3 linked regions of the Callithrix jacchus genome follow. The protein of the gene in region 3 interacts with the protein of the main gene of each other region in a biochemical or structural test. Links are inferred from orthologs where the notes say so. Each region holds a gene or a part of one and is shown on either strand. Other genes may lie near its edges.

The links. The genes of interacting proteins can lie anywhere in the genome.
Region 1: the proteins of HSP90AA1 (region 3) and STUB1 form a complex in vitro, tested with the Homo sapiens proteins (14 studies listed by BioGRID and IntAct, with this or other methods). The link is inferred for Callithrix jacchus from reciprocal best matches to the Homo sapiens genes HSP90AA1 and STUB1.
Region 2: the proteins of HSP90AA1 (region 3) and FKBP4 form a complex in vitro, tested with the Homo sapiens proteins (4 studies listed by BioGRID and IntAct). The link is inferred for Callithrix jacchus from reciprocal best matches to the Homo sapiens genes HSP90AA1 and FKBP4.

The regions. Positions count from the first base shown.
Region 1 is NC_133513.1:2,938,080-2,945,576, forward strand, and holds STUB1 (E3 ubiquitin-protein ligase CHIP), read left to right. Parts: upstream 1-3,507; 5' UTR 3,508-3,629; coding exon 3,630-3,788; exon of another isoform or gene 3,789-3,933; intron 3,934-4,227; coding exon 4,228-4,426; intron 4,427-4,511; coding exon 4,512-4,677; intron 4,678-4,744; exon of another isoform or gene 4,745-4,872; coding exon 4,873-4,960; exon of another isoform or gene 4,961-5,124; coding exon 5,125-5,181; exon of another isoform or gene 5,182-5,255; coding exon 5,256-5,372; exon of another isoform or gene 5,373-5,432; coding exon of another isoform or gene 5,433-5,454; coding exon 5,455-5,580; 3' UTR 5,581-5,831; downstream 5,832-7,497. Other genes in the region: RHBDL1 (rhomboid-related protein 1), read left to right, coding at 11-159, 317-429, 500-600, 680-740, 826-1,097; JMJD8 (jmjC domain-containing protein 8), read right to left, coding at 5,882-5,962, 6,040-6,174, 6,252-6,319, 6,407-6,526, 6,616-6,865, 6,947-6,995, 7,135-7,224, 7,302-7,387. UniProt on the Homo sapiens protein: E3 ubiquitin-protein ligase which targets misfolded chaperone substrates towards proteasomal degradation.
Region 2 is NC_133510.1:16,106,930-16,114,558, reverse strand, and holds the start of FKBP4 (peptidyl-prolyl cis-trans isomerase FKBP4), read right to left. Parts: upstream 3,991-7,629; 5' UTR 3,847-3,990; coding exon 3,742-3,846; intron 3,074-3,741; exon of another isoform or gene 2,062-3,073; intron 1,892-2,061; coding exon 1,747-1,891; intron 1,309-1,746; coding exon 1,166-1,308; intron 318-1,165; coding exon 197-317; intron 1-196. UniProt on the Homo sapiens protein: Immunophilin protein with PPIase and co-chaperone activities. Component of steroid receptors heterocomplexes through interaction with heat-shock protein 90 (HSP90).
Region 3 is NC_133509.1:136,998,121-137,004,819, forward strand, and holds the end of HSP90AA1 (heat shock protein HSP 90-alpha), read right to left. Parts: intron 6,261-6,699; coding exon 5,940-6,260; intron 5,823-5,939; coding exon 5,657-5,822; intron 5,236-5,656; coding exon 5,045-5,235; intron 4,945-5,044; coding exon 4,797-4,944; intron 4,555-4,796; coding exon 4,286-4,554; intron 4,004-4,285; coding exon 3,670-4,003; intron 3,404-3,669; coding exon 3,294-3,403; 3' UTR 2,645-3,293; downstream 1-2,644. UniProt on the Homo sapiens protein: Molecular chaperone that promotes the maturation, structural maintenance and proper regulation of specific target proteins involved for instance in cell cycle control and signal transduction.

The DNA of each region.
Region 1 (7,497 bases), on a different chromosome or scaffold from region 3:
GTGTCCCCAGATCATCGTGTTCCTGTGCTACGGGGCCCGCCTCAACAAGTGGGTGCTGCAGACCTACCACCCTGAATACATGAAGAGCCCTCTTGTGTACCACCCTGGGCACCGCGCCCGTGCCTGGCGCTTCCTCACCTACATGTTCATGCACGTCGGGTGAGTGGGGCTGCTGCCCAGTGAGGCCTCCCCCACCCCGTCTGCCGTTCCATCAGAAAGGCTTAGCCTCAGGGCAGGTGCAGCAACTTGACAGGGCTGGGGGTGGGGCCTGATGGCTGACCCCACCCCTTATGCCCATTTGCTCCCGTGTGGCCAGGCTGGAGCAGCTGGGGTTCAACGCCCTCCTGCAGCTGATGATCGGGGTGCCCCTGGAGATGGTGCACGGCCTGCTCCGCATCAGCCTGCTCTACCTGGCGGGTGTGCTGGCAGGTGAGGCAGGCGCGCACCCCCGCCCCCTACCCTGGCCGGCCACACCCTCACCCGCCGCTTGCTCACACAGGCTCCTTAACCGTCTCCATCACCGACATGCGGGCCCCGGTGGTGGGAGGCTCCGGCGGGGTCTACGCCCTGTGCTCGGCACACCTGGCCAACGTCGTCATGGTAACGGGCCTGCCCGGTGGGGGGCGCGGGGAGGGGCCCCTGGCAAGCCTCACGGCCTCTCCTCTGAACACCCCCCTAGAACTGGGCTGGGATGAGATGTCCTTACAAGTTGCTGAGGATGGTGCTGGCCTTGGTGTGCAGTGAGTAGGGACTGAGGGGGAGGGCCGGGGGGGGGCCTCTCAGCCTGCAGCCGGGGCACCTCCCATCTGCCGCATCCCTCTGCAGTGAGCTCCGAGGTGGGCCGGGCCGTGTGGCTGCGCTTCTCCCCGCCGCTGCCCGCCTCGGGCCCACAGCCCAGCTTCATGGCGCACCTGGCAGGCGCGGTGGTGGGGGTGAGCATGGGCCTGACCATCCTGCGCAGCTACGAGGAGCGCCTGCGGGACCAGTGTGGCTGGTGGGTGGTGCTGCTGGCCTACGGCACCTTCCTGCTCTTCGCCGTCTTCTGGAACGTCTTTGCCTATGACCTGCTTGGTGCCCACATCCCTCCACCGCCCTGACTGGCTACCTGAGGCTGCACAGGCCATGGCTTGGCACATGGTGGCTGCCCCCCTTGGGCCTTCGTGTCTGCCCTTGTGAACGGACGTCTCAGGGCTGCTGTGCCCCTTGGGTGTGGGTGGCCTCAGAGGAGACCCTGTCCCGGCCAACTCCCTACTCCCAGGACTTGCAGTCTGAGCCTTTTTGGATAATTAATAAATATTTTACACAGCACCAAGGGGCTATCCCAGGCTCTGGAAACTTGCCAGGACCTCCACAACCGCTGAACAGACCGTGAGGGCCCTGCCCACCACGAGAGCCTGGCTGTCCTCCCTGTGCACCTCTGCACCTGGGGTCACATGTGGGACTTGTTCCCCGGGCCACAGGCGAAGGTCTGTGGGAGTTACGGGCACCGGGGAGGGCTGGGGGCCAGGTGTGTGTCAGGCCAGGAGTGTGGTCAGGCGTGAGTTTGGCAGTGTTTATTGAGCTCCATGGTGGCAGCCTCCCTGGCATCCAGTGACACCCGAGGCCTGAGGTTGTGTGGCAGGTGAGTGGGCCAGGGCCGTAGCCGAGTCCACTCAGCCTGGGTCCTGCGCTTCTTCGCTGGCCTAGCATCCTCGTGGGTGGCCAAGCTGGGGCCAAGTTTGGGCAACAGGTGTGGGCACAGCCTCTGCCCCAAGGCCCCGGTCCACAGCGCTGTCTCCACTAGGTGAGGAGTCCACTGTCCTGAGGCACTGGCTAGGGAGGGGCACATGGAGTCAGGCCCAGGGCACAGGCCCCCCCCCACCCTGCCCATGCACAGATTGCTCACCTTGGCTCAGAGCTTGAACCCGGCCCAGGGACAGCAGGTTGTGCCTGAGGGTGTACTGTGGGGTCAGAAGACTGGGCACTGTGGCCACTGCCTCATCTGACAAGAAGGCTTCCAGCTGTGGAGCTCCGACCGCCAGGACTGCTCTGAGCAGCGAGGAGACAGCAGCCAGACACCCCATCAGGACAAGCTCTGGGAGACCCTGCTCCTGCTCCCAGGAACATGCAAGGGCCCAGACTGCCGGCTTCACAGACAAGGATGCCTGTGCACCCAGGTCGTGCACACCCGACTCACCTGTGGTGGGCCCACACCGCGGAGGGCACACAACTTTATGACTGCGGCCCCCGACTCTGGCAGGAGTCAGAAGGCGGAGGTCAAGCGGTGCACAACCAGCTCAGGGGATTGGTGGCCACAGGCTGCTGAAGACATGGCCAAAAGCGGCCTCTCTGTGGGAGGCCAGGTCAGGATGCCTGGAGTGGTGGACCCTCCAGGAACCCCGCCCCACGACAAAGCCCCGCCCCCACGAAGACACGCCCCTAGGAGGCCCCGCCCACGAGGAAGCACCGCCCCACCGACGCCACTCCCTGAAGACCCGCCCTACGGAGGCCCCGCACACGAGGAGGCGGGGCCGCACCCCACCGGCAGCCTCTAGACTAACAGCCGTTCCAGCTCCCTTCGCGTCACGTGCTTCTCCGCTCGGCCCTTGATGGCCGCCAGCAACTCCTCCCGTTACCTGGAAAAGGGGGTGAGGGGAGGTCCGGCCACGGGGACACTCGCCCCACGGATCCCTTTATCTCTTACCAGTCTACCAACGGTCCACGGCTTCCAGCCGCTCTCGGGGGCCCGCGCGCGCTCGTAGCACCTTTCGGTGGCATTCCAGGATGGCAGCCCAGCAAGCCGCTGGGGTCCCCACAGCCCCAGAGCGCGTGGGAGGCCGCCATGTTACGTGGAGGGGAGGGGTCGGCTCTCAGGGGCGGAGCCTCTGCGGAAGGGGCCGGCTGCTGGGGGCGGGACCTCTGCAAACGGAGTCGACCCCCCCCCGAGGGCGGGGCCGGCTGCCAGGGGCGGAACCTCTGCAGACGGGGCTGACTGATGGGGGCGTGGCCGGGTGCTGGGGGCGGGGCCTCCGCCGATGGGGGTGGCTGCGGGGGCGGGGCCTCTGCCGATGGGCCAGGTGCTGGGAGTGGGGGCGGGTGCCGGGGGCGGGACCGCCGCAGATGCGGCCTGTTGTTGGGGGCGGGGCGGGCTGCTGGGGGCGGGACCTCTGCAGATGGGGTCTTTACGGGTTGGGGCAGGGGCGGAATCCCACGTGGGCGGGACAGGCTTTTAGGGAAGCACGCCCTCAGCGAACCAAGGCTGAGGCACCTCACGGAGAAAACCGGATATATGGGACGGCCGCCACCGAGGCCAGTTCTGGAGAGGCCTCGGCGGGGCGGGGCGGGGCTGGCCTCCGCGAATGCCGACCCTGAAAAACGCGGGGCCAGGGAACCGGAGCGTTCCTCGCAGCCAGCTACGTCGCGGGCCGACTGTCCCCGCCCAGGCTGGTTGGGCGCACGCGCGGCCCTACCCGCCCCCCGACGCCTGCGTCCCCGCCGATCCCGCCCCCGGCCGGAAGTTCCGGCGGCGGAGCTGGGCCGGGCCCGAGCTGATCGTGGGCTCGGGCTGCAGGGCTCGGGCTCGGGCTTCGGGTGCAGGGCCGTCAGGCGCGGAGCTTGGGAGCGCAGCCCAGGCCGTGCCGCTCGGCGCCATGAAGGGCAAGGAGGAGAAGGAGGGCGGCGCGCGGCTGGGCGCTGGCGGCGGAAGCCCGGAGAAGAGCCCGAGCGCGCAGGAGCTCAAGGAACAGGGCAACCGTCTGTTTGTGGGCCGAAAGTACCCGGAGGCGGCGGCCTGCTACGGCCGCGCGATCGTGAGTGCGCCCGCGTGGGGAAGGCGGCGACGGCGAGTCGGAGGGCCACGCCCGCGATCGGCCGGCCCCGCCGAGGGTCTGGCTCCTCCGCGGCGGGTATCCTGGGCTCCGAAAGCCCAGCATTGGTTCTCGATCCCAGCGCCAGGTGCCGGGGAACGAGGGTGGGATGCTAGATGGAGGCCGGCCGGGTGGGTGGGAGGCCAGGGTCCAAAGCTGGGACTCTCCAAAGATTTGGAAAACTCTACAGAACCAACCGGAGTGAGGTGTGTAGGCTCAGCCAGTAGTCCCGTGTCTGCAGATCCTTGGACCCAGAGGCTTTGGCTACTGAGAGGTCTAGGTTCTTGATCGTAGCCAGATCGCAGAAGCTGGGACGGGCCCTGGGACAGAGGGGGCGCGCTGAGCCTACGCCTGATGCGGCTGGCCCGGCCTTGGTCCCTAGACCCGGAACCCGCTGGTGGCCGTGTATTATACCAACCGGGCCCTGTGCTACCTGAAGATGCAGCAGCATGAGCAGGCCCTGGCCGACTGCCGGCGCGCCCTGGAGCTGGACGGGCAGTCTGTGAAGGCGCACTTCTTCTTGGGGCAGTGCCAGCTGGAGATGGAGAGCTATGATGAGGCCATCGCCAATTTGCAGCGAGGTTGGCCGACAAGCTGCCTGGGTGCGGGGCCCCTGGGACCAGGCGGTTGGACTGGCCAGCGTGACCGGAAGCCCTTGTTCCCCAGCCTACAGCCTGGCCAAGGAGCAGCGACTGAACTTTGGGGACGACATCCCCAGCGCTCTGCGAATCGCGAAGAAGAAGCGCTGGAACAGCATCGAGGAGCGGCGCATCCACCAGGAGAGTGAGCTGCACTCCTACCTTTCGAGGCTCATTGCGGCGGAGCGTGAGAGGTGGGACCCTTACCCCAGGCCGCGCTGTCTGGGGATAATTCTGAATAACCAACCGCCAACACGAATGTTTACTGAAAGTTTTACTGGCGAGCAGTGCATGTGGGGAAGAAGCCTGGATGTTAGCCCTGAGTCTGGGGTGTGGTCAGACATCTTCTGGCCAGGTCCGTCTCTGACGGGCTCCTGGTCATCCCCCAGGGAGCTGAAAGAGTGCCAGCAGAACCACGAGGGTGACGAGGACGACAGTCACGTCCGGGCCCAGCAGGCCTGCATTGAGGCCAAGCACGTGAGGGTGCCCCCATCCACATGTGGGTCTGTGTGTGTGCACACGTGGCACGGGAGCGTCCCCACCCTGCTGTGGGTCTGTGTGTCCCTGCCTCGTGTTGGGTCTGGGTACCACGGAGGAGGGAAGTGGGGTGTCCCTCCCAAGCACTGCTCAACTTTCCACAGGACAGATACATGGCGGACATGGATGAGCTCTTCTCTCAGGTGGATGAGAAGAGGAAGGTGAGTGCTGCTGTGGGTGGTAGGTCCTGGAGCAGCCCCTTCCCAGCCTCTGACCCTGTGCCCATGTGCCACAGAAGCGCGACATCCCTGACTACCTGTGTGGCAAGATCAGCTTTGAGCTGATGCGGGAGCCGTGCATCACACCCAGTGGCATCACTTACGACCGCAAGGACATCGAGGAGCACCTGCAGGTGAGGCTGGGGCCAGGGGGTGGGCAGGGCCAGCAGCAGGGTCCTAGGCTTGCTGAGCAGCCTCTGCCTCTTGTCACTGCAGCGTGTAGGCCATTTTGACCCTGTGACCCGGAGCCCCCTGACGCAGGAACAGCTCATTCCCAACCTGGCTATGAAGGAGGTCATTGATGCATTCATCTCTGAGAACGGCTGGGTGGAGGACTACTGAGCTCCTCGCCCTGCCCAGTGTCCTGGCCCCGGAGGGCCACGGGCAGAAGCCCCCAGCCCCTGTACATAGCTTGTGTCCCTGGCCACCCTTTCCCTTCCCCCCAGTTCTGCTGTTGGGCTCTGGACGGCTCCCCTCTCAGCATAGCTCTTGCTGGGCTGTGATCCTCCCCGTCCCCCATTCTGGGCTGGAAAAGCAGGTGAGGGTGGGCTGGGCTGCGGCCACCGTCTGTGTAATAAAATCCGTGAGCACAAGCTGGGGAAGAAGTGCTCTGTGTGACAGGAGTGCCTGCCGGCTGCCACGGCTAGCCAAGGAAGGTAGAGATGAAGACGCTGGTGTCAAGGTTGAGTGTGGCGTGCCACCAGCGGTCGGGGAAGTACAGCACCTGGTGAAGGAAGGGGGTGCAGCCGAGATCAGCTGCGGGCCTCTGACCTGGCCCGGTCCCTCCTGCCAGCCACTGACCTCACCAGCCTGGATGGTACACTCCAGGGGCCGTGCAGACGGCGGCAGGGCTGGGTATGTGTCCCGGAGCCAGGCCAGCGTGGTCTTGTTGGGGTGGAACTCTGGCGTCTTCTCAGGTGGGTAGAGGAACCAGCGCTGTGGGCAGGGGCAGCAGCGTCACCCTTGCCCACTTGGGTCATCCACCCAAGCCCCGACACCCACCCTGGGCTGACCTTACGGCCGTAGATCACCTCCGAGTACCCAGGCCCGTGCCAGTGGAAGGGCACCCCCGAGCCGGCTCCTGTGGGGTTACGAGCACCTAGTGACCCACCTGTTTAGTACCCACTCTCAGAAGCCTCACTCCTCCCCAGTCCCAAGGAGCACCCACCTGCGATTCCAAAGCTGTAAGCTGGAGCGGTACCCGGCAGACCAAATGGGGGTGGGGAGTAGTGCCGAAAAAGTGAGGACCATTCAGTGAAGTTGTTGTCCCCGAAAAAGTACAGGGTGTCTGCAACAGAGACGGTGGGGCAGGGATCCCGGCACTGGGAGGCTCCAAGCGTGTCGCCGCCCCAACACCGCCATACATGGCTGACTCACCATTGCCCAGGGAGGTGGGGTCCTGGGGGTGCAGCAGCTGCTCCACATACTCCTGGAAGGGCAAGTCCACTGCAGGGAAGGGACGGGTCAAGACCGGCTGCTGCAGCCGTCGCGGCGTTGGCAAGCAGGCGGGCCCGGGGTGGGGCGGCTCACCCTTCCGGTAGGAGTAGGTGTTGGCGGTGCTCAGCCGAACCACTCTGTCTCCGAACGACGCCAGCAACCTGTCGCGGGAGCACAGGGCCCGGAACCTCTGCGGGGGGGCGGGCGGGGGCGGGGCTTAGAGGCCGGGCCCAGCACGCGCGAGGGTGTCCGGGGACGGGCGCGCGCTCACCGAGTTGTCCGTGAGTCCCTGCAGGATAACGGGCCTGACGAACGCGTACCTGGAAGGAAGGGCAGAGTCGCGCCCAGGCTCGACCGCCACCCTCGCCGCCCCCGCCCCACACTCGCGGGAGCTCGGGGAAGGCGCCTTAGGCGGGCGGGTGACCAGGGCGCGATCTCCGCGGTCAGGGGCGCACGTACTGCTGCACGAACTCGGCGTAGGTAAGGTCGGCGCGGCGCTCCACCGTGCAGCGCTGCTCCTCGGCCGCGGCCCCCGGCCCGCCCCGGCGCCTGCGGGCACAGCCCGGTCAGCCCGCGCCCTACCCGCCGCACGAGACCCCCCGCCCGGCCCCTCCCGGGCCGCTCACCACCCGCCGTCGCCCTCCTCCCCCGAGCTGGGTAGAACCAGAGCCGCCAGCGCCCAGAGCGCGAGCAACCACGACCCCGGCGCCATGAGCCCGCCGCCCTCAGGCAGCCGCGCTGCACGCCGGGAACCTCAGGCCCGTCCGCCAGCCATTGGCCGCAACCTCGTCGTCATGGCAACCGCCGGGTGCCCGGATGGTT
Region 2 (7,629 bases), on a different chromosome or scaffold from region 3:
GGTAACTGAGGAAGGATGCCATCAGCCTCTCTACATCACCCCAAGATTCTCCTACTTGTGTTCTCAAAGACAATATGGTCCAACCCCTCATTTTATGGCCAAGAAAACAGGCTCAGAGAAGAGACATTACCTACCCAAAGCCACTGAGGCCTAAATATCAAAATTAGAATTGAAACCCAAGGCTGTACTGTCTTACCCTCCACAATAGCGCCCTCATTGGGCTTAGCATAGCCTTCACCACGAGTCCGTATTCTGCGGATGATTCCGCCATCTTCCTCTTCCGTCAGATCTTCTCCCTTAAACTCAAACAACTCCACCTGTGGGACAAGATGTGACACAATTCCTTCCCATACTAACTCATGGGCAGTGAAACACAACCTTTCTCTCACCCAGGAGAGTCCCTACTAACTGCCAGGCCAGATCTGACTATAAGGGTAGTCACGAGGAGTCGGGTAGAAAGGCGATTTTGCTAAGTTCTTGGGAGCTGCCCTTACCTCACCTTTGGTAGAGGTGGGCAGCCTACATGGGCTTCAGTTAAGCTGAGGAGAGCAATCTATTTGCTACCTGCTCTACTAATGAGGACGCATCGGGACGTGTTCCAGGTAATCCTGATTCACACTACCTGATAAGCCCAATCTGGTAGGTGTTAGGAATGATTACCCAATATCTCTCAGCAGTTTCTCAACATTCAAGTGCCCACAGATTGGCTCAACCATTTTCATATTGAACAATGTCAAGTTCTAGCTCCTCAGAGACGGCTTTTCTCAGCCCTTGACCCACAGGGGAGGGCTATTGCTCCCTCTTCTGATCTCTAGAGCACCAATATTCTGTACTGCTATTTATAAGGGTACATAGTTTCTGACCTCCCGACTCCTTTCAGTATTCTTCTGGGTACCACTCTTGAGATAAAGAAGCCTTAACCCCGACCATGCCTTGAGTCTGGAGAGGGGCTTGCGCCTGCCTCTTCCAACCCAAAGCTTCCATTACTTCTATTACTAGCAGCAGCAGAGCCAACTGCCCTGTTCATTTCTACTCCTCCCATAAGGCCAGGCCCTCAGCCTTGGCTACATTGTCTCCAAGAAGCAGGAAGGGCTGGAGAGCAGCCAGGCATTGGGCTGAGATAAGGCCTGGCTTTTAGCCTGGATCTCAGTGGCTGGACACTCACCTCAAACACAAGCGTGGCATTGGGGGGGATCTTTGGAGGACTGCCTGCTGAACCGTAGGCATATTCTGGTTTGCAGGTGATGTGGCACACCTCCCCAACTTTCATGGTTGCTATGGCAATGTCCCAAGCCTTGATGACCTCCCCTGCAGATATAGAGGCAAACAGGATCACCTTAGCAGGGTTCTGATTCTGGGCTCACACAGTGCTCCTGGAGAGTTACTGAACCACACTCACGGGGAAGCTGGACATCCTTTAGAAATGGGACCAGAAGGTGAGATACCTGGTTGCATTAAGTGTTACCAGGTCTCAGAACTCTTAAAAGATCACCTGACCCTGAAAAAAAGAGTTTTAAGATGCAAGACAGTCCACCTTTGAAGCTGGAGTAAGGTGCTGGGAGGTGATGAGAAGAGAAGACATAGATCAATATAGTTACAGATCGGTAGAAGGAAAAGAGTGACAGAAAGAGTAACAGAGTGTGATAAACCACTCCTCCCTGAGCCTGGTCCTGAGAAAATGGTTTCTGCTTGTGACAGTTTGTGTCCACCTCAAACCTATCCTGCCAGCCCACTGACCACGCCTACCTTTTCCCAGGTCAAAGGAGAATTTGTCCTTGCGATCCAGACTGGAGTCAAACTTTGTGCCATCTAACAGCCAGCCAGTGTAGTGGACAAAGACTCGGTCCCCAATCATGGGCATCTCTGTACCTGTGCCCTCTCTCTTGATGACCTGGGAGGAAGGGGGAGAAAGTGAGTACCCCAGGGGTGGGGGCGGAAAGGGGCACCAACACTGTCTGCAAGCCTCCAGGAACATAAATGAAGCTCTCTGTGTCCATCCTCCTCTGCCTACTTGTCCCTCCAGATTCGGTTACTAGCAGCTTAGCCTAGGAGTCAACTAACCTTGTCTTTCTTGAGGTGCAGCAAGACTTGGTTTGAAAAAGAGACAAAAGACTGAGAGATCTGAGTTCAAGTTTCTGGTGTATGGATAAGTTCTTAAAACTCTCCACACCTTATTTGTAAAGCAGTGATGATGATCCCTATCTCCTACAGCTGTTGGAAGATTAGACCAGTAAAGGGCTGAATAATAGATTATTATTATCATCGGCAAATGGGGAAGTATTTATGCCATACTTCCTCCTCCTTCCTTCATGCCAGTGGTCATCAGATCAGGGTCTGGTTTGGAGACAGGAGAAAGAGAGGAGTATAAGTGAAGAGAAAAGAAACAGTTCAAAACAGGTAAGGAAGAAACCAGGTTATAGGTGAACCCGGAGGCTCTCCCTGGGGCCTTGAACTCTGACTTCGGAGCTGAGTATTCCTGATTAAGTCCAGGCTGGAGTATTTCCCAGCAACTACAGGCTTCTTTAGCGCCACCTGGTAGGTGTGTGGTTACCCTCTAAGGGAAAGCTTCCATGAAGAACGGAAAGGGGCCTTGAGGAGTAGAAAGGTAAAAGGGAAGGAATGGCGGATCAAAGGGGGAAATGATCCTTCCTAGAATAACAATCTCATAGAAAACAGCAGGACGCTGGAGCGAGAAGGGGAAGCCACATGCCACAGGACAGTCGCTGGATCAGGCACTCGAGGTCCCCAGTTATCTGGTGCCAAGCCAGATGCACTTCTGGACCAGGTAAAGGCCCCCTGAGACGGGTGCCGCACACGCGGAGCTCAACGGTGGGAAGCCAGGATGAGGAGGAGCAGCGGATAGGGAGAGGGCATAAGATGCGAGCTGCGAGTTCACCATCTCCGGACTCTCCCCAGAACCTGCTCCGACCCATGGCAGGTTGTCCTGGCCCAGGTCAAGATGCCCTCCACCCAGCTCCCCAGGCTATTTGTAGTCGAGCGGTCACTCGGCCGCGGGCTCCACAGCAGAGCGCCTCCTCCCCACCCCACACCCCGCAGACGGGCTCCGGGAGGCGGCGCGGGGGGGGGGGAACTACAGCTCCCGGCATTCCCCGCGCTCGGCCTCCCCGGGGGGGCGAGGGAGGGGGCGCGGAGAGTTGGGGACCTCGCAGGGTCCCGGTGTCGGCAGGGGACACCAGGAGGGCGCCAGAACCCTGTCGCGCTTGCGTCACACAAAGGCCTCCAGGCCAGGAAAGCACTGTGGGGAGTCGCTCCCCGTCCTGGCCTATGTTCCACAGCCGGGGTGGGCCAGCCCTGGCACCGCCACCTACAAGGCAGCCCGGGGGATAGGGGGCGGCGCGGCGTGGGAGCAGCCCGGCCTGGCCCCTGGCTGCAGCTGGAGCGCCCGCGGCGGCCGCCCCGCCCCTCTCCGCCGCCCTGCGCGCGCCGAGGTGGGCGCTGCAATCCCGACCCCCTGCCGGGCCCGGGCGCCGCGGGATAGGGAGCCTGGGGCCTCGGCCGGCTCACCTAGGCCGCCCCCTGCCGAGCGCGTGGCCACCCTCAGTGCCCCAAACGACGCATCACGGTCCGGGACGGCGATGCCACCGGCCCCCGGCGAAACCGCCACAAGGTTGCAGAGGCGGCCGCCTCGACCCGCGCCCGGCCGCGGGCTCCCGGCTTGGCGGAAGGGTGGCCCGCCGGGCCCGGGGTTCGGTCGCCCCCGCAGACCCCGCCTTCCCTCACCTTCAGCACGCCTTCGTCCTGTTTGGGGCTTATGTCCACTCCCTCCACCGGCAGCGGCGCGGACTGCGCCCCGTTCTCGGTCGCCTTCATCTCCTCGGCTGTCATCTCCGGGCGGCGAGCCGTTTCTCCGGGAGCTGGCGCCGGCGCGAGCGCACTCTGGGTAGCCGGTGGGGGTACTACCTGCGGAGCGTGCGGGAGGCCAGGCGCCACGGCGCTAACTGCGGACCGCTCAGAGACTGGAGCACCTCTGCTCGCGGCGCGGGAGCGGGGGTAGGTGGGTCAGGAGCGGCTCGGGGAGCGATTGGTCCCGCCCCGCCGCGAGGGAGGGGCTGGGAGGAGCCGGAGAGCGGACAGAGCGGGCGGGGTGCAGAACTTTCTAGAGACTGCGGGGCTGATCCCGTTCGGGCTCGGGCTGCGGGCGCTTCGGATTTTTTTTTTTCTCCTTGTTCTTGCCTCCTGCTGGTTGCCGGCACCCCTTCCCCTCTCCTGGGACCCTCGGACTCGGGATCTCCCCTGGCCTTTCCTCCCTCCCACCCCCGGCCGCTTCCCTGTCTAACCGGATTCTTCCAGATTCTTCTCGATCGATCTCCTGACTTTACTCCACTAGTCCGCTGCGCCCGCGGCGGGGTGTGGGAAGCGCGGGCAGCCAGATGGCAGCGGCGGCACGCCCTCCCCGGGAGCAGCTTTCACCATGGGCGGCGTGGCCTTCCCGTTATGACCCGCGTAGACCCTTGCCTACCTGGGGGAAAAAGGGCAAGGGCGTGTGGGCGGGGAAGTGAGTGGACAGCGCTGCCCCGCTGCGCAGAGCCAGGGAAAGCAACCTCAATTTCCCCAAAGTCGGAAAGCCCCAGCTGGGCAGCAGTGCCTCCTCCCGCGCCTGCAGATGCTGCAAGGAACGGGGTGGCAGGGCATGGCCGTCCAGCTTGGGACTCACACGGGGCACGCACTCAGGGGACCCTTCCTCGCGGTAATGAAACTGCCGTTTCCGCGAATGCTTACAAGGATGGGTTCCCCTCCCGAAAAAAGTCACTCGGTTTTCCTAAAGGCCCACAGACGGAGTATTTTCAATGTTTGTTTCCTGAGTGTTTCTTGACAGCCTGTGGAGCGCGCAGCTACCGGTGTCACCAAAGCCATGGTCGTGGGACCTAGAGAGCCATCTAGAGAGGAGCCTGGTTTTGCTCAGCACCTAACCCCAGCTTAGTGTAGTATCTGGTGAGTGGTGCCCAGTTGTAACTGGTTGCATGAAGTTTCCTTTTTTATTTCTTTTTCCAAGTCTTGGCTGATTTTTTCTTTTCTTTTTTCTTTTCTTTTTTTTTTTTTTTTTTTTGAGACAGAGTCTCACTCTGTCACCAGGCGCCAGGCTGGAGCGCAGTGGCGCGATCTCGGCTCACTGCAACCTCCACCTCCCGGGTTCAAGCATTTCTCCTGCCTCAGCCTCCCGAGTAGCTGGGACTACGGGCGCGCGCCACCACGCCGGCTAATTTTTGTATTTTTAGTAGAGACGGGCTTTCGCCATGTTGCCCAGGCTGGTCTCAAACTCCTGGTCTCAAATGATCCGCCCTCCTCGGCCTCCCAAAGTGCTGGGATTACAGGCGTGAGCCACTGCACCCAGCGTGAATTTTTATTCCTATAATAATTATATTTTTGGACATCCGTTTATGTGCCCGGCACTTCGCTGTTGGGACGCCGTCAGGCTCATCAAACTAAATTAGGATCGCTTTTTAGAGATGAACTTTTCAGCGTCATAACGCGATGGTTCATTGTAGTCCCTGCCGAGGGAACTTGAAAGGAATGCATAAGAAAAAGCGCTTCTCTCCAGCAATTTACAGCCCACATGAGTTGAGAGCCACAATGAAGATGTCTCTTTAGGTGACTGGAGGCACCTCCAGAGGATACGGGGGCGCTGCCTCTGTAGGGATTAAATCCACTACTTTTCTGTAGAAATAACAGTGCCAGGAGCCACCCAAACTCCGGGAGACCAGGATGGTGGGTGCTGGCTTCCGGGTGGCAGTTTACCGCAAACTGTCCTTGGCTTGCACCTACTGATTCTCCACGTGTGGCTGTTTCTTTTCTGCGTCTTTTTCTTCATCAGAAGCAGACAGTGTAGGACCCCCTTCTTTAATTCTGTTCAGCACATACTTAATGGAAGCCTTCCGATGTACCTACCATTATATAAACACATAGCCAATACCCTAGTGGAATGAACCTGTGCTTTGGAGTAAGGCGAGTTGGGTGGTCCATGTGTTAGCGGTTTAATTTGGGGCAGGTTATTTAATCTTTATGTATCGATTTCTTGTCTGTAAAATAGGGGTAGTAACATCTGTAAATGAGGGGTGTTACTGGTTAAAAAAGAGGGAATCTGTGTATGGTATCTAGCCAGCACAGTGGTCGCCTCCAACTCCGCAGTTGGCAAATAACGGTCGTTAGTGTGATCTGATAGGCGCTGCGGTGGAGATGGGGACAAAGTGCTAAGAAAACAAAGGGCTGTGAGATAGGGAAGGCAGGAAGGCAAGGTTCTCGGTGAGAAGCTCTGTCCCCACACACAGCGACGGAGGAAACGAGGGGCCCACAGGTATTGGGTCTTGAATCCCGGAGCAGATACTTACTGTTTCACGGAATATTTCCTGGTCGTTTATGTGATACTTTTCTGATCATAAAACATACACATACTCACTGTAGAAAGTGTGCACGTGTTTAAGTCTCTTTATCTCCTCACCCTTTCCCTGGCCCATTTAAGTAAGTATTCTATTAAATATGTTTAACTGGTGTCACTCGAAATTCTTCCAAAATATCCCCTTTTTTTTTGCAGGAGGAAGTCAGCACACTTTTTCTCATCCACCTTCTCCGTAGGTGACTTCTGCTGGGATCAGAAGCTTTGTTCTTGTCACACTGAGCCTCTCTGAGCTGACCAGGCTCAGCTCCCAAACCCTGGGCCTATCATTTACACATGAAGACCCCTTGTTTCTATAGTTCATATTTTGACCTTCTTAGGCTGCCAATGCACTTAACATCCAAAGAATTGTATAATATTTGGACCATTCAAAAGACTGTGCAATGCAGTACGAGTGTGTGTGTGCATGTATGCATACATGTTATGCAGCATACCAGCACAATGAACCTGGGAATCTGTCACCTAGCCTGTGTTAGAACATTCACAATATAATTTGTCAAAAATATATTACCAAAAAAAAGGTAATGACCTGTACATTTTTTTCTTGTTAACTTTGGTGTCTGTTGATTGAGAAAATACAAACTCTACTGACCAATTCTTTAAAACATTTATCTGTGTTAGTGATTATAGTTCCATTTTCATACAATTTAAAAATAGTAGGCCTCTATGTGAGGCCTGTGCATAGTGAAGACCTGTGTGAAGGTTAAGCTCATGGGCTCTGGATTGGATTCTCCTGGGTTCAAATTCCAGCACAGGCTCTTGACCTCGATTCAGATCTCAGCTCATCATTGAACTCATCGTGAGTCCTTGAGCAAAGTTTCCTTGTCTCTCAAACGGCTGTCATGATAATGCCTATCTCACAGGGGTTTTCTTTGAAGATTAAATGGGTTATTTATTTTTTGGAGACAGGGTCACACTCTGTTGCCCAGGCTGGAGCGCAGTGGTGCATCACAGCTCACTGCAGCCTCCACCTCCCAGGCTTGAGCAAAGCCTTTCACCTCAGCCTCCGGAGTAGCTGGGACTACACAGGCATGCACCACCATACCTGGCTAACTTTTAAACATTGTTTGTAGAGATGGGGCCTGCCTGTATTGCCAAGGCTGGTCTTGAACTTCTGGGCTCAAGTGATCCTCCCTCCTTGGCCTCCCAAAGTGCTGGGACTACAGGTGTGAGCCACTGCGACTGGCAGTGGGATATTACGTGTGAAGTACCTGAAC
Region 3 (6,699 bases):
TACAGGCACGCGCCACCATGCCCAGCTAATTTTTTGTATTTTTAGTAGAGACGGGGTTTCACCATGTTGACCAGGATGGTCTCTATCTCTTGACCTTGTGATCCACTCGCCTCGGCCTCCCAAAGTGCTGGGATTACAGGCTTGAGCCACCGTGCCCAGCCTTCTATTTTTATAGACAGGATCTTGCTCTGTGTCCCAGTTTGGGATGCAGTGGAATGATCATGGCTCACTGCAGCCTTCAACTCCTAGGCTTACGCAATCCTCCCACCCCAGCCTCCCAAGTAGCTGGACTACAGGCATGTGCCACCATGCACAGAAATTTAAATATTTTTTGAGATGGAATTTCACTCTTGTCTAGGCTGGAGTGCAGTGGTGCGATCTCAGCTTACTGCAACCTCCGCCACCCAGGTTCAAGCGATTCTCCTGCCTCAGCCTCCCGAGTAGCTGAGATTACAGGTGCCTGCCAACATGCCCAGCTAATTTTTGTATTTTTAGTAGGAATGGGGTTTTGCTATGTTGGCCAGGCTGGTCTTGAACTCCTGATCTCAGGTGATCCACCTGCCTTGGCCTCCCAAAGTACTGGGATTACAGGTGTGAGCTACTGCACCTGACCTAATTTTAATTTTTTCAGGGGGACAGGGTCTTGCTTTGTTGCTCAGGCAGTCTCGAACTCCTGGGCTCAAGCAGCCTTGCCTTGGCCTCCCCAGGTGTTGGGATTACAGGCGTGAGCCACCGTGCCTGGCTCAAATGATTTTTGTATACTGATCTCTCCTATGCGAAAACCACTTCTAGTATCATTTTGATAGATTCCTTGTGTGTGCTACCTGGACAACCATGTCATCTGTGAAGTCTTCCTCTTGTCCAGTTTGCATGTCTTTTCAGCACTCACTACCCTCCTCGGCAGGATGGAACTTGACTATGGAAGGTTTGAAGCAACAATGAATTTTGAAGTGATAGGGTAAGAATCGTGGTCCTTTAAGCAGTGCAAGGACATTTGCAGCCATGACATACATGTGTCATCTGGCCCAACTTCTCACTCACTTGGCTGGGCATCCATCTTCTTGGTGGTCCAGGTGCCAGCACAGGGACTGCTGGGAGATAGGTCAGGCGCACAGCTAAGTACCCATCCATTCGCCATCAACACTTTCCCAGTAACTCCAGGAGGATAGTTCATTTGGGAGATGATTTATACAGAAGTCCTACATTGCCTGATTCCCTCAACTGCCTTATATTTGGAAGAAATCTAAAGATTTAATATTTTTTATTTTTTTGAGACGGAGTTTCACTCGTTACCCAGGCTGGAGTGCAATGGCGCGATCTCAGCTCACCGCAACCTCCGCCTCCTGGGTTCAGGCAATTCTCCTGCCTCAGCCTCCTGAGTAGCTGGGATTACAGGCACGTGCCACCATGCCCAGCTAATTTTTTACATTTTTAGAAGAGATGGGGTTTCACCATGTTGACCAGGTTGGTCTTGATCTCTTGACCTCGTGATCCACCCGCCTCGGCCTCCCAAAGTGCTGGGATTACAGGCGTGAGCCACCACGCCCAGCCTAGGTTTACTATTTTTTTAACTAGACCTGGGAAAAAGCTGACATTTTACCCTTTTTGCCATTCGCTTCCTAGTTCAACACTAAACCTTTGTCTTAGCTGCTAACATCTTCTAGTAAGCAACAAAACTTAAAATTCAGCCACCAAGACCCTAAGTAATTCTTTCTATTGACTAAGGGAACTAAGAACTTCTCAGAGGATTTTACGGATTAAATGTGATTGCCATTTGCCAAGCACTCAATACCTGCTTAGCATGAAGGACTGAGACCAAGTCTTCTCCCTGCCTGTGCTCTGCCCCTTAAGTCACCAGCACATACCCAAGTCCCACCCATATCCTTTTTATATATGGCTTTAGGCTCAGAATGCAAATCCTACATGCTATCTAACCAAGTTTTCTTTCTAGAATCACAAGACTTTTAGTTAGCCATTACCACCCCTAGAACTTTTTGAGACGGAATTTTGCTTTCTGCCCATGCTGGAGTGCAATGGTGCCATCTCAGCTCACTGCAACCTCCGTCTCCTGGGACTACAGGTATGTGCTAACACGCCCAGCTAATTTTGTATTTTTAATAGACAGCAGTTCTCCATGTTTGTCAGGCTGACCTCACATGATCCACCCACCTCAGTGTCCCAAAGTGCTAGATTATAGGGGTGAGCCACTGTGCCCAGTATTTTTTAAACCTTTGGAGACATGCCAGCTAATCTTTCCCCTACCGACTTGTTACCTACTGCTCACAACGAGCTCAAAGGACCAGAAAATGAGCGACTTTAGACACTGAGTTTAAAGAAATCTGGTAATGAACTGAGACAAAAGGCCAAGGAACTGACTACATTTAAGACACAAGGTGTCCCATGAATATCATCACAACAGTGCAGACGTGCACATGGGATGCACATTGTCTGCATTATTTTCTGTCTACATGTACTCCACCCCACACGCACCAGAAGTACACATTGGGAAGATCATGTCAACCCTTACAGTGGCCAATGTTAGTCACCTCCTGCTAGTACCTCATGTTTTACATTGTGGCACCAATGCTGTCACATCAAGAATACTCCCCTTCTCTGCCCAAGACAGACACTGTCACGCAACTTCTTTTAACTCATCTGTATTTGTTACAACTTTAAGCAGAATGTAACTCGAGCACTACATTTCCATCCACAAGACTGGCTCTGAGTTACTTTGAACAGCTTATGGTATGCTTAGGTAGGCTAATAACTGCTCCTCCAAACAATACTTTCTTTGGAAAACAAGCCCTGTGGAGAGTTCCATCAAGTTGCTTCAGTTTAACCTATTTCTAGAGGACTAGTACATGCAGAATTGGCAACTACAGGGAGGAAGAGTTCAGAAAGTAGATCCTACAAGGTATAACAAACACTTCTCTTCTAAACATCAAAGTATAGCTTGGGAACACTTCGATAACAAGATTTGGTCTACTAAGGAATCTGGCTTGCTAAACACTTTAGACCACAAAGTTAACATGTTACATACATCTTACAACACAAAGTACCTCGATCTGTTAATGTAAGCCAACGTGAAACTAAACAAGCATTACTAGCTCTGCGTTACTGCCTACAGTATCACAGCATCGCTCAGAAGTCGGCAGAGATCTACCTTCCCCTTATAGTTGTGATCATGCCATAGACTTTTTAATGTTAACAAAAATAAAGAAAAACATCCTTGAAAATATATTATTAGAGGAACTGTAGAGTACTGAACAGGTAAGTCATCCCTCAGATGGAGCTTAGTCTACTTCTTCCATGCGTGACGTGTCGTCATCTCCTTCGAGGGGTGGCATTTCTTCAGTTACAGCTGCACTGGTATCATCAGCAGTAGGGTCATCTTCATCAATACCTGTTTTCAAAAGAAAATCCTCTATTAGGAAGATTTCTTAAAGCCAGCTAATTAGTATTAATACTCCTGGTTTACATCTGCTTTCAAGACAGTATTACTGGGCATAGGAATCTTCGTTTCTTAGCTCTTGTAACACCTTATCCCTGTAGAAAAAGATACCTGAATGCCTCTGAGCAGGACAAGGTGCTCCAAGTTTGGATAACATTAACCACTTTTTCACAAGTCATGTATGATTGCTTTTCAACTTGACACAGTTTAAGGCTTACCTAGACCAAGTTTGATCATCCTGTAGATCCTGTTAGCATGTGTCTGGGGATCCTCCAGACTGAAGCCTGAAGACAGGAGAGCGGTTTCATAAAGCAAGATGACCAGATCCTTCACAGACTTGTCGTTCTTATCAGCCTCCGCCTTTTGCCTTAAGGTCTCGATGATGGAATGGTCAGGGTTTATCTCCAGGTGTTTCTTTGCTGCCATGTAACCCATTGTTGAGTTGTCTCTCAGGGCTTGAGCTTTCATGATTCTCTCCATGTTTGCTGTCCAGCCGTATGTGCTTGTGACAATACAGCATGGAGACGTCACCAATCGGTTTGACACAACCACCTGTAATGAAGAAGTAAGAACTTAGGAGCCTAGAAAGATTAAAACCTAAACTTTCATTGTGAAATGAAATCTGAAGAACCAAAATATCAATATGTCGGAAATACCATCTACTATCAAATACAACTTAAGGTTTTATTAGGTATCCAAACAGCACAGGCTAAAATTGTGTTTTACATACACAACCATAGTTTTCAGTGAAGCTGAGAACAAGGGAAAATGGGTTATGTAAGCTTGAAAGCCCCTTAGAGGTATCAATCATCAGGAAATGCTGTATTCACATACCTTTTCAACCTTTTTCTCCAGTATGTCTTTCATGATTTTGCAGAGGTTCTCAAACTTTGTTTTCTTCTCTTCCTGTTTCTTTTTCTCTTCTTCATCCTCTGGAAGTTCCAAGCCCTCTTTGGTGACTGACACTAAAGTCTTCCCCTCAAATTCCTTCAGCTGTTGGACACAGTACTCATCAATGGGCTCAATCATATAGATCACTTCTAAGCCATGCTTTCGAAGACGTTCCACAAAGGCTGAGTTAGCTACTTGGTCCTTGGTCTCACCTGAGGTATTATAAAAGTTACTTTTATACCTTTTGACAGTAAGGAATGGCTTCACCTACTTCTGACTTTTCTTACTAGTCAGATACCTAGGCAGAACCGAAAACAGATGACTGAGCTCATGTTAAGTATCCTGCTTAGATCAACACCAGTTATACTAACAGTGCTACCTGAGTAGAAAACACATCCAGAGCCTACAAGGTTCCAAGAACAAAGTGTTTGAGTGTAATGTACTGTCCCCCTACCTGTGATATAATAGATATGTTTCTGGTTTTCCTTCATTCTGGTGCAGTAGTCTTTGAGAGATACCATCTCATCACCAGAGGCAGATGTGTAGTATCTCAACAGCTCTGAAAGCTTCTTCCGATTTTGAGAGTCTTCGTGTATTCCAAGCTGAAACAAAGTAAGTTCTTTACAAAGATGTCTTGAATTTAAAAAAAATCTAAAAAGAGGCCAGTTGGAAAACTACTAATGGTCAAATATTTACACTAACCTTTATGTTTTTAGAGAACTGCTCATAGAACTTCTTGTAGTTCTCTTTATCTTCTGCCAGTTCAGTGAAGAGTTCTAAGCATTTTTTGACCAGATTCTTCCTGATAACTTTCAAAATCTTGCTTTGTTGCAACATCTCACGGGAAATATTTAGAGGGAGATCCTCTGAGTCTACCACCCCTCTAATGAAGTCTGAAAAAAATATAAAAACCAAATGCACTGAGTCATTCCAAAGACAAAACTGGTGCTAGATAACCCCCAAAAAATCAAACGTAAAAACCTCAAAATATATACATATGTATTAAGATGGGTCTGTTTTACAGGGTGGAGTGCAGTGGCCCGATCTCTGCCCACTGCAACCTATCTCCCACTCCCCTCTCCCTATTCAAGCTATTCTCAAGACTCAGCTGGACTCCAGGCACCCACCACCACACCAGGCTAATTTAGTAGAGATTGGGTTTTCATTTTGGCCAGCTGGTCGTGAATTCCTGACGTTAGGTGATCCACCCACCTCCGCCTCCCCTAAGTGCTAAGATTATAGGAGTGAGCCACTGTGCCTGCCAGGAATTATTTCTTTAATCCCTGACTGATCATTTTTCCTAACTGTACTTACTCAGATATTCAGGGATTAGTTCCTCACAGTTATCCATGATGAAAACTCTGCGTACATACAACTTGATGTTATTCTTTTTCTTTCTGTTTTCAAACAGGTCAAAAGGAGCACGTCGTGGGACAAATAGAAGGGCTCTGAATTCCAACTGTCCTTCAACTGAAAAATGCTGTAATAAAACATACACACTTAAGTACCAATGAACAATGCATTACAGAAGGTATCTGTGGTGGAAGAGGAAAGACAGTAACTAAGGACAAGCTCGAAGCACCACTCAGTCACTCACCTTCACTGCCAAGTGATCTTCCCAGTCATTGGTCAAGCTCTTGTAGAATTCTCCATACTCCTCATTAGTAATATCGTCAGGATTTCTGGTCCAGATGGGCTTTGTTTTGTTGAGTTCTTCTTGATCGATGTACTTTTCCTTAATCTTTTTCTTCTTCTTCTTGTCACCATCCTTTTTTTCTTCTTCTTCTTCATCAGAACCAACATCTTCAATTTCAGGTTTATCTTCAGACTCTTTCTCTTCTTTCTCTTTTTCTTCTTCTTTATCTTCCTTTTCTTCAGCCTCATCATCACTGACTTCTTTATCACGTTCCTTCTCCACCTTCAAAACAAGACGTGAAATCACATCACTGCTGCAACTGGTAACACTGAGCAACTATTTTCAACTAAGGCCAAAGCCTAGTCAGCCAAGCCAGAAGCAGCCAGGCAGCTTCTCATCAACGTATCTTATAGACTAAGGTAGTAGATAGAGCTTAGGTTCCCCAGGCTCCACACTAATAAATAACAACCCAAGTTCAACAGATCTAAGGAATAAGGATGTAGCTCAGTCACCCCAGTCATCTACAGAGAGTAACTCACTCTGCAATTTTTTTTTTTTTTTTTTTTAAAGACAGAGTTTCGCTTGTTACCCAGGCTGGAGTGCAATGGCGCGGATCTCGGCTCACCACAACCTCCACCTTCTTGGTTCAGGCAATTCTCCTGCCTCAGCCTCCCGAGTAGCTGGGCTTACAGGCACGCGCCACCATGCCCAGCTAATTTTT